2 linked regions of the Danio rerio genome follow. The protein of the gene in region 1 purifies or fractionates together with the protein of each later gene. This does not show direct contact. Links are inferred from orthologs where the notes say so. Each region holds a gene or a part of one and is shown on either strand. Other genes may lie near its edges.

Evidence for each region.
Region 2: the proteins of ccnk (region 1) and cdk12 purify together in Homo sapiens (affinity purification with mass spectrometry; 6 studies listed by BioGRID and IntAct, with this or other methods). This does not show direct contact. The link is inferred for Danio rerio from reciprocal best matches to the Homo sapiens genes CCNK and CDK12.

What each region holds. Positions count from the first base shown.
Region 1 is NC_133195.1:5,223,618-5,228,046, reverse strand, and holds the start of ccnk (cyclin-K), read right to left. Parts: upstream 2,931-4,429; 5' UTR 2,826-2,930; intron 2,129-2,825; exon of another isoform or gene 2,000-2,128; intron 1,883-1,999; 5' UTR 1,828-1,882; coding exon 1,628-1,827; intron 1,499-1,627; coding exon 1,417-1,498; intron 1-1,416. UniProt on the Homo sapiens protein: Regulatory subunit of cyclin-dependent kinases that mediates activation of target kinases.
Region 2 is NC_133194.1:5,796,200-5,800,024, forward strand, and holds part of cdk12 (uncharacterized protein cdk12), read left to right. Parts: intron 1-524; coding exon 525-1,208; intron 1,209-3,825. UniProt on the Homo sapiens protein: Cyclin-dependent kinase that phosphorylates the C-terminal domain (CTD) of the large subunit of RNA polymerase II (POLR2A), thereby acting as a key regulator of transcription elongation.

The sequences.
Region 1 (4,429 bases):
TCCCCCCTCCCACCAATATTGATCGACTGGAGCGTCACCATATACTTAGTTTGTCGTTTCACGTCCGCCATTTTCCATTGCGCGCATGAAGCAACACGCTTGCACTTTTCCAGCTGCACCTAGTTAATATCACAGGGAGCTTCTGTGATTGCGAGAAATGCAAACGGCTGAAGTTTAAGGTGGCGAGGCAGTGGCGCAGTAGGTAGTGCTGTCGCCTCACAGCAAGAAGGTCGCTGGGTAGCTGGTTCGAATCTCAGCTCAGTTGGCGTTTCTGTGTGGAGTTTGCATGTTCTCCCTGCCTTCGTGTGGGTTTACTCCGGGTGCTCTGGTTTCCCCCACAGTCCAAAGACATGCAGTACAGGTGAATTGGGTAGGCTAAACTGCCCGTAGTGTATGAGTGTGTGTGAATGTGTGTGTGGATGTTTCCCAGAGATGGGTTGCGGCTGGAAGGGCATCCGCTGCATAAAAACTTGCTGGATAAGTTGGTGGTTCCGCTGTGGCGACCCCAGATTAATGCTCTTCAGAACAGACGCGGATTCGCGTGATGGGCAGGGCTTCTGTCTGCCCGGTGACTCTAGCTTCATAGCTAAATGGCTAACATGGATTTTATTAAGAAAATAACAGTGTTAATGTGCTTTATGGAGACTGAAAAACAGCGTCAATACGTTTAGGGTCGTGTCTGAGTCCACTGCATCCTTTCAGAGGTGCATCCTGCTCTGTGAGCTCATAAACTCCTCCAGAAACTGAACCTGGATCACGGAGGCTTTCAGCGGTGCTTCTGACTGAGCCAAGCCCAGTTTGATGTCTTGTTGTCGCTGTCGCTGTCGCCTGGAGGATGTCCCCTGGGACACCATCAACAGGTTCTACGTCACAATCACGCCCCCACAAGAGCAAGCTCCTGATTGGTTAACGCTGCGCGAATGTCCGCTGAAGTTCAGATTTTCGAACTCGAAAGATTCTCGCGAAACGCTCGTTAAGCGCGTCAAATGTGCAAAACGCTCAAATCGCCTCGGGCGTATCGCGCCATTCGCACCGCGCCATTCGCGCTATTTGTGTCATTCGCTCCGCGCCATTCGCGTGTATCACGCCGCAGGATGTCTATTTGCGCGTTTGCATTGACTTAACATGTAAATCAGTCACGCTTGACGCGCGTACCTCGTCTGTTGTGAACGCAGCATCATAAAGGGACTAAGCCGACAAGAAAATGAATGAATGAATGAAGTTTAAGGTAGACTTCTATTGTAGGTACCAAAAGAAATACTACGGCAGTCAATGTTACCAGTTTTCAATGTTATTCTAAATATCTCCTTTTGTGTTTTACAGAGGAAAAAAACTCTGAAACAAGAGGAGGGTGAGCAATTCCTTAAAAATGTAAACAGTAAAAAAAAATATCTTTCAACAACAGCTTGTACTTACATATCGGGGGAACTGTTTGAAAGAATGAAACATATAAAACCGATGAAAGTATGTTATTCCTGTCGCCAGGGTGTCATAATGTCTTAAAAAATGGTTAAGGTCCAAATGGAAATCATCACACCATTTAAACTTCAGCCTTATTCAGTCTAAATCAATAAATAAACACACAACATCTTTAGATCAGTCTACAAATAGCAGCATTGAAGGATACAATCCCAAACGTGTTCCGACATCGAAGATGAACCTGGCTCCCTCTCGTCTGTACCGCGCTTCTGTGGCTGGGTCCAGGTCTGACTGGGACGGGGTGTGGGCCAGATCCTTCTTGTCCCAGTACCAGCATGGCTTGGTGTGGTCCAGATTTGTGGTGAAGCTTCCGAAGGTGGCGTTGGAGTTCTCCTTGCCGTCCTTCATTTGGAAGGAAGTGACGGCTGATGCCAAACCGCAAATCAGTCTGAACTGCAAAAGGCTAAAAACAACAGCTAGTTGGTTACTTCTTAAAAGTGCACTGGGTGAATTTTGCCAAACGATGTTGAAATTTGGGACTCTACTCTCACTTTTATGAGTTTCTTTCGTAATTCTGTTAAACAAAAAAGATGGTTCAGAAGAAAGCTGAAAACTGGTAACCATTGACCTTCATAACAGGGAAAACAAATACTATGGAGGTCAATGGTTACCGGCTTACAACATTTTTCAAAATATCTCTTTTTCTGTCGAACGGAATTAAGAAATCCAAACAGGTTTGTAACACGTGAAGGGCGAGTAAATGAAGACAGAATTTTCATTTTTTGATGAACTATATATGATTACTCAAAGATATGCATGCATGTATACACAATACACACATATATATTATGTCAAAAACTTTTCTTCTGGATTAATTACAGCTATAAAAACGAAAATAATGCTACAAATAGGGTTTATTTATTCTAAGCGTCTTGTTTAATTTGGGGTGAATTTTGACAGATTTGAAATAGCTCAGTTATATTATTATCGCATTCAGTTATAGTTCAATGGGTATTGTTTGGGAATTCACAATAAATAAGATAAAATGTCGTAATTTGTGCATCAGCATGATTAAGGCACACGTTTCTTAAATTTGCAAAAAAATAAGTTATATAATCTATTGAAAGTTCAAACATGTCAATCATTTGCTTCGTGAGAGAACACAGACAATTAAATACCAAATATATCATACATCCCAGACCACTCATAACATCACGTGACTAATATAACCGTGTTCTCCAGTAAATATGCTGTTAATTTAAATGGAGCTGTTTGATCCTTCATTCATCAATTTACGATGACATTAATAAACTGAGAGGGAAGCGATTTCAAAGCGATCGGTTTCAAACCGAGTAATTACTCATCCTTCGAATTATAAACAATAAGTAACTATAAAATAGTCTTACCTTTGCGATATATGGCACGTTTATGTCCTTAGTAAACTGGGGAGACGAATAAAACGTTAATCGTTGTCGGTCTCACATTCACGACATGGAGGCAGCCATTTACAGCACGTCTTCCTCTGTACTTCAAAGCAGCGCTCGTGCGTCGTTCAAACCACCTGAAGCGACATCTGCAGGCCTGGAGAACATACATTTCAAAGTCCTTTCTGAAAATAAAAAAGTACGGGTGTTTCTTTGAAAATTTACATTTATGGATGTGAAATTTTGTTTTTAAAAAAAGCAAAAAATCAATAATTGATTTAAAATGAGAAAGATCTACACTCAGAGAGTGACCAAATAATACATTTTTTGGGGAAATACAGAAGTTTGGAAATAAGAATTTTTTAATGAAATCGGAAAAGTCAACCCAAGGGCCATGATGGACAGAGGCCAGTGGATAAATTTGGCCAGGATGCCGGGGTTAAACCCGTACTCTTTTTCGAAAGACATTCTGGAAGCATGCTAATGGGACTTTTAATTTGCCAGTAACCTGGGTTAAGCGCTTCCGGCGAACTGTATGCCAAAGGAAAAAGCTGCACGTTTTTAAGGTCAGTTTTCTTTAAAAATCAGCGATCTCCACTGGCTGAGTGATTTCCGATATGAAGTGGGTCTCGGATTGTACTAGAAGCACTGCATTAAATGACATTTTCCCCGCCATGTCTTTATAATATGAGCATATATTTAACCCAGTATATTCAATGGAGCGTCTGCGCTATCCTGCCGATTCTGACGGGCGAGTGCGAGTAAAAGGCCTTTTGTCTCGTTTTACGCTTGAACAACTAAATGAATGCCAAAGTTTATTTAACTGAATGTATTTTAATTACATTACAACATGAATGCTGTAAAAGGAACCGTATAAAATGGAAAAAACTCACACTAACCGGTCACCGGAAGTTTATAAGTATATGGGAACAACACTTGCTCGGCATATAGCCAATTATATTCATCTGTCTCCATATTCTACTGCATCCCAGAATATTACACAGCACCAGAAATGTAAAAAAATATATATTGAATATATTTAATATATTTTTGTGTACTGCAGACGGCAATTCGCCGTGACGCAGATTCACGAGTCTGTGTGCTCCAATCAGATGAGCCCTCTTCAGCGTTCGCCATGACAACGCAACAGCAGTTTTTACGTGCCTTGTAAAAATTTGCATATGCATTCCTATAAAGCTCGTGTGCTCTCTGTCAGCCTTGTCAGTTCGCTCAGTGTTGCTGTTTGAACTTGACCAAGGTGAGTTCAATACCGACTTTGCGAGTGGAGCCACGCCAATCTCACGAAGTCCGCTTCCTGAAGCTTCACTCGGTACATAAACGCAACATCGCAAGGAATATTACGTGTTTGTTGCTCGAAATGTGCCGCCGAGCAACATCCAGTGAATACTGGCACGGCCTGGCGCCCGGTTTTCTCGTGCACTCCCTGGGGCGAGGCGACCTTTGAGCCCTAGGCAGGGAACAAACAACCCCCGAGGACCCTCAGGGAAACACGGGGGGCCGGTAGTGGGACCTCGCTGCGAGGGTTATGGTGGGTGGGAGTAGCGAGGCCCACTCATCGTCTATTT
Region 2 (3,825 bases), on another chromosome or scaffold:
AACTGATGCAGGTATGTCATGTGACCATGACAAAATGGCGGATGTAGTACGTCCGAATTCCATTCATACTTTTCACATTCATACTGTATAGAACGTACTTTTCTAACGGCGAGTAGTACGTTTAAATTCAAATGCAGTACCTACTGAGTAGTAGGCGGTTCCGGACACAGCCTGAGAATTTAACTGAAAGCAAACAGGAAGTGCATTTTTAGATTTAAATAAAATATTACTAAAGCAAACATTTCATTTTTATTGTATTTTTATTTTCTTAATGACCTGCACAGATGAATTGTTCTTCACAAAACTAGCAATGTGAGCTAACAAAATCAATATGGTTAGTTTTGATTTAATGTGTACTTTTTAAAGTTGTTATACACAAGCACCGTTATCCTGCAGTTATATAGTAAATAGGTCATGTCATTGTGTACATGTTCAATGAAGTGTATTAAGTATTATCTAATATTATTTGTGTATTGTTTATTATTTGATAGCTGATTTGAAAGCATTTCTCTTCTCCTCCGCAGGACATCTCTGCGTGCCCGGAGCCGTTCTCCTCACTACTCCTCGTCCCGCCGTTCCACGTCCCATTCTCGCTCAAAGAAACATTCGTTATATTCCGGCGGGGCCAGCGGAGCCTCCTCTCACAGTAGTCGACCTGGCAGCCGGTCGCCTTCATCTTCACGTTTGCCCATCACCTCCAGCCTCGGAGCCGAACTCACAAGAAGAAAGCAGGAACGTCAGGCAGCTGCTGCCAAGAACTCTCCTGCTCTCCAACCAAACACGTCCAATGTGACAAACACACCAGTGAAAAACACTGATCCACCGCCACTGGAGACAGCAGCAGCAGCAGCGGCGCCCCCTGAGCCTCAAAGACCGCCCTCTCCACCTGCAATCACTGTGGCTGTGGAGGAGCCTGCTGCGCTTCCTCCTCCACCTCTCCCATTATCCAGTCCTCCTCCGCTGCCTCTAACGTCTCCTCCGCCTCTTCCAGCCAGCTCTCCTCCTCCTCCTCCTCTGTCTTCTCCTCCTCCTCTTCCTCTGAACAGTCCTCCGCCGGCTCCTCCACCTTTAGCGCCTGCACCGGCTCTTTCTTCACGGCCGAAAAGCCCCGCACAGAAGCCCGCGAAAAGTCCTGCGCACCAGATGAAGACCTCCACGCTTCCTCCTCTTCCCCTGCCGCCGGCTCTTCTGGGAGACTGCAGGGACAGGTGAGTGCTGAAAACACACACTTCATAGGGAAACTACTGTCTGTATGCAAGTTTTCCACAAATGAGAAATAGTACCACACGGATTAACTTGCTTTATTCTGAAATAAGCACTGACATCACCTCATTTTGTCTTATTAAGGCAGTTATTATCCTAAATGATTATTTAGATGCTTTTTTTTTTTGGTGATTTGTGTCATATTTGATCTTGTTTTCATTTCTGCACATGGACTGTTTTAACAGGCTGTATTTATTAGGTACAGGGCAATATGAGTAGCCTCCAGTTTGTTGGTGTAGTAATTCACACTTAAGCCCCGGTCAGATCACATGATTTTTATTGTCTTTTACGAAAGTCTCTATGTCAGATTATGCAAATTATTATTTTTTTCTTGATAAAATCTTGACTTGTCATTAGAGCCGCACAATTAATCGTTAAAAGATGGCGATCTCGATTCGACCCCCTAGACCACAGGTGTCAAACTCGGTTCCAAAAGGGCCGCAGCTCTGCACAGTTTAGTTCCAACCCTAATTAAACACACCTGATCAAACTAATTGAGTCCTTCAGGCTTGTTTGAAACCTACAGGTAAGTGTGTTGGAGCAGGGTTGGAACTAAACTGTGCAGGGCTTCGGCCCTCCAGGAATTGAGTTTGACACCCTTGCCCTAGACCAGGGGTCTCAAACTCAATTTACCTGGGGGCCGCAGGAGGCAAAGTCTGGGTGAGGCTGGGCCGCATAAGGGATTTCTCAAAAAAAGTCCTCAAATGTCATTATTAACAGTTTTAATTATTTCTTCTGAACATGAAGTGTCCTGAACATTAATAAAACATTGAGTGAAGATTATGAACAGTTCTTCTGAACATGGCATCTTTTGCCTACTTCTTGCTGCCAGAGACTTGACAGCGCTTCTTCTCACAAATCTGAACCACATTTGTCTTTAGAGCGGAAGCAGTTGAGACCCTCAGTATGGCTTGAAGATGATCATTTAGTCTAGACCTGTACTTTGACTTATTGAAGTCCTAGGGAAAAAAGTGGGGGAACTAACTCAAAACTTCCATTCCCTCACCTAAAAAAAAGGCGTATATATGTATAAATAAAACACCCCCACCCCACTCCAGTCACATCAGTCTGTACCAGTCTGTATCTACCTATAATATCAATATATATAAGATGCAGGGCAGGCACGTGCACACATAGGGCTCAACCTGTGCAGAGCACATCCCCTTTTTAGTCTTGCATAGAAAGTGCCCTTCCAAAATGATCAAAAGTGCCCCCGCGACGCGACACACCCTCGGTCCCGCCCTTCAGTAGGCGCGCGATAACACCGTTCTTGAGTATGCGCGCGACAACACAGCTGATCAGAACGCGCGCGACAACGCGCATTGAGTGACAAGCGCGCTGTGTACGGATAGAATCAGCGGAGCGGGGAGCACTCTCTCTCCCCGCTCCGCTGATTCTGTCAGAGTACAGCGGTCGGCGCGGGCCACAAAATATTGCACTGAGGGCCGCAAATGGCCCGCGGGCCGCGAGTTTAAGACCCCTGCCCTAGACGATCTTAATCCAGCATTTCTACGATTCTGCCAATCATATTTTCGAGTTCAGGAGAGAAGAAAAGGCGGCTGCACGAGTCTTTTCATTGTTTCACATACGTTGCTCAGTGACATTGACACCTCCAAATGATGTTGAATGAGTCACTTAATGTATTTATAAGGTATAATTCATCAAAAAATGTCATTTTTGTCTTAATATAAGGATGTTTTCGCGATCGGGAAATCACACATGACATAAGCTGCTGACCGTGAGCTGTTATCACAGAGAGGGTGCGTGCGCTCTACTTAATGATAAACGCGTGCGCTTCTACTTTAGTGAACATAACCTGCATATGTTGCGAGTAACAGGTAATTCAGTTGTAAATAATATTCAGTTTGTGTCACAGAGTGATTGTTTGGGAGCCGCACAAGAAGTATAAACAAGCACTTAGCAGTCAGAATGAAACCGAAAGTGTTTAAATGATCGTATCCCATTTTAGAGTTATGATTACGACAAGCATTTGATATGTTTTTTCTTTCATAGTGAACCCACAGTTGTGCATGAAAATAAATGTTTACAATGTTAGTATAAGTACTCCAGCCTGTATATTGTTGAATATAATCTGATAATGGCAAATGTCTGATCTTACCAGTGAATAAATTTGTCTAATATAACAGATTGCAAGCATACATCTCAAACATAATAATTCAACATCAGAATTATTATAAGTAGAATAGAATTATTTATAGAAACCAGAAGACCTACACATAATATTAATGTCGAGGTTGTGCCATATGTTTGTTTTTACCATACCTGTATTTTACATCTACAGAATCATGAGAAAATCGTGATCTTTATTTCAAGCAAAAAAAAACGCGATTCTCATTTTAGCCAGAATCGTGCAGCTCTACTTGTCATGGGTAACAAATGTGCCAGACTACACGTTCCTTCACGAACGGTTATCCCATGACATCTATGATGAGCATTATTTCCTAAAGCAGTCACAAGTGTTGCTAAAATGCTGTGCTTACACCAGATGCGGAAGAAGCTTCAAGCACAAGTGTTTAGTAAATGCAAAGTTTAGTAAATGCA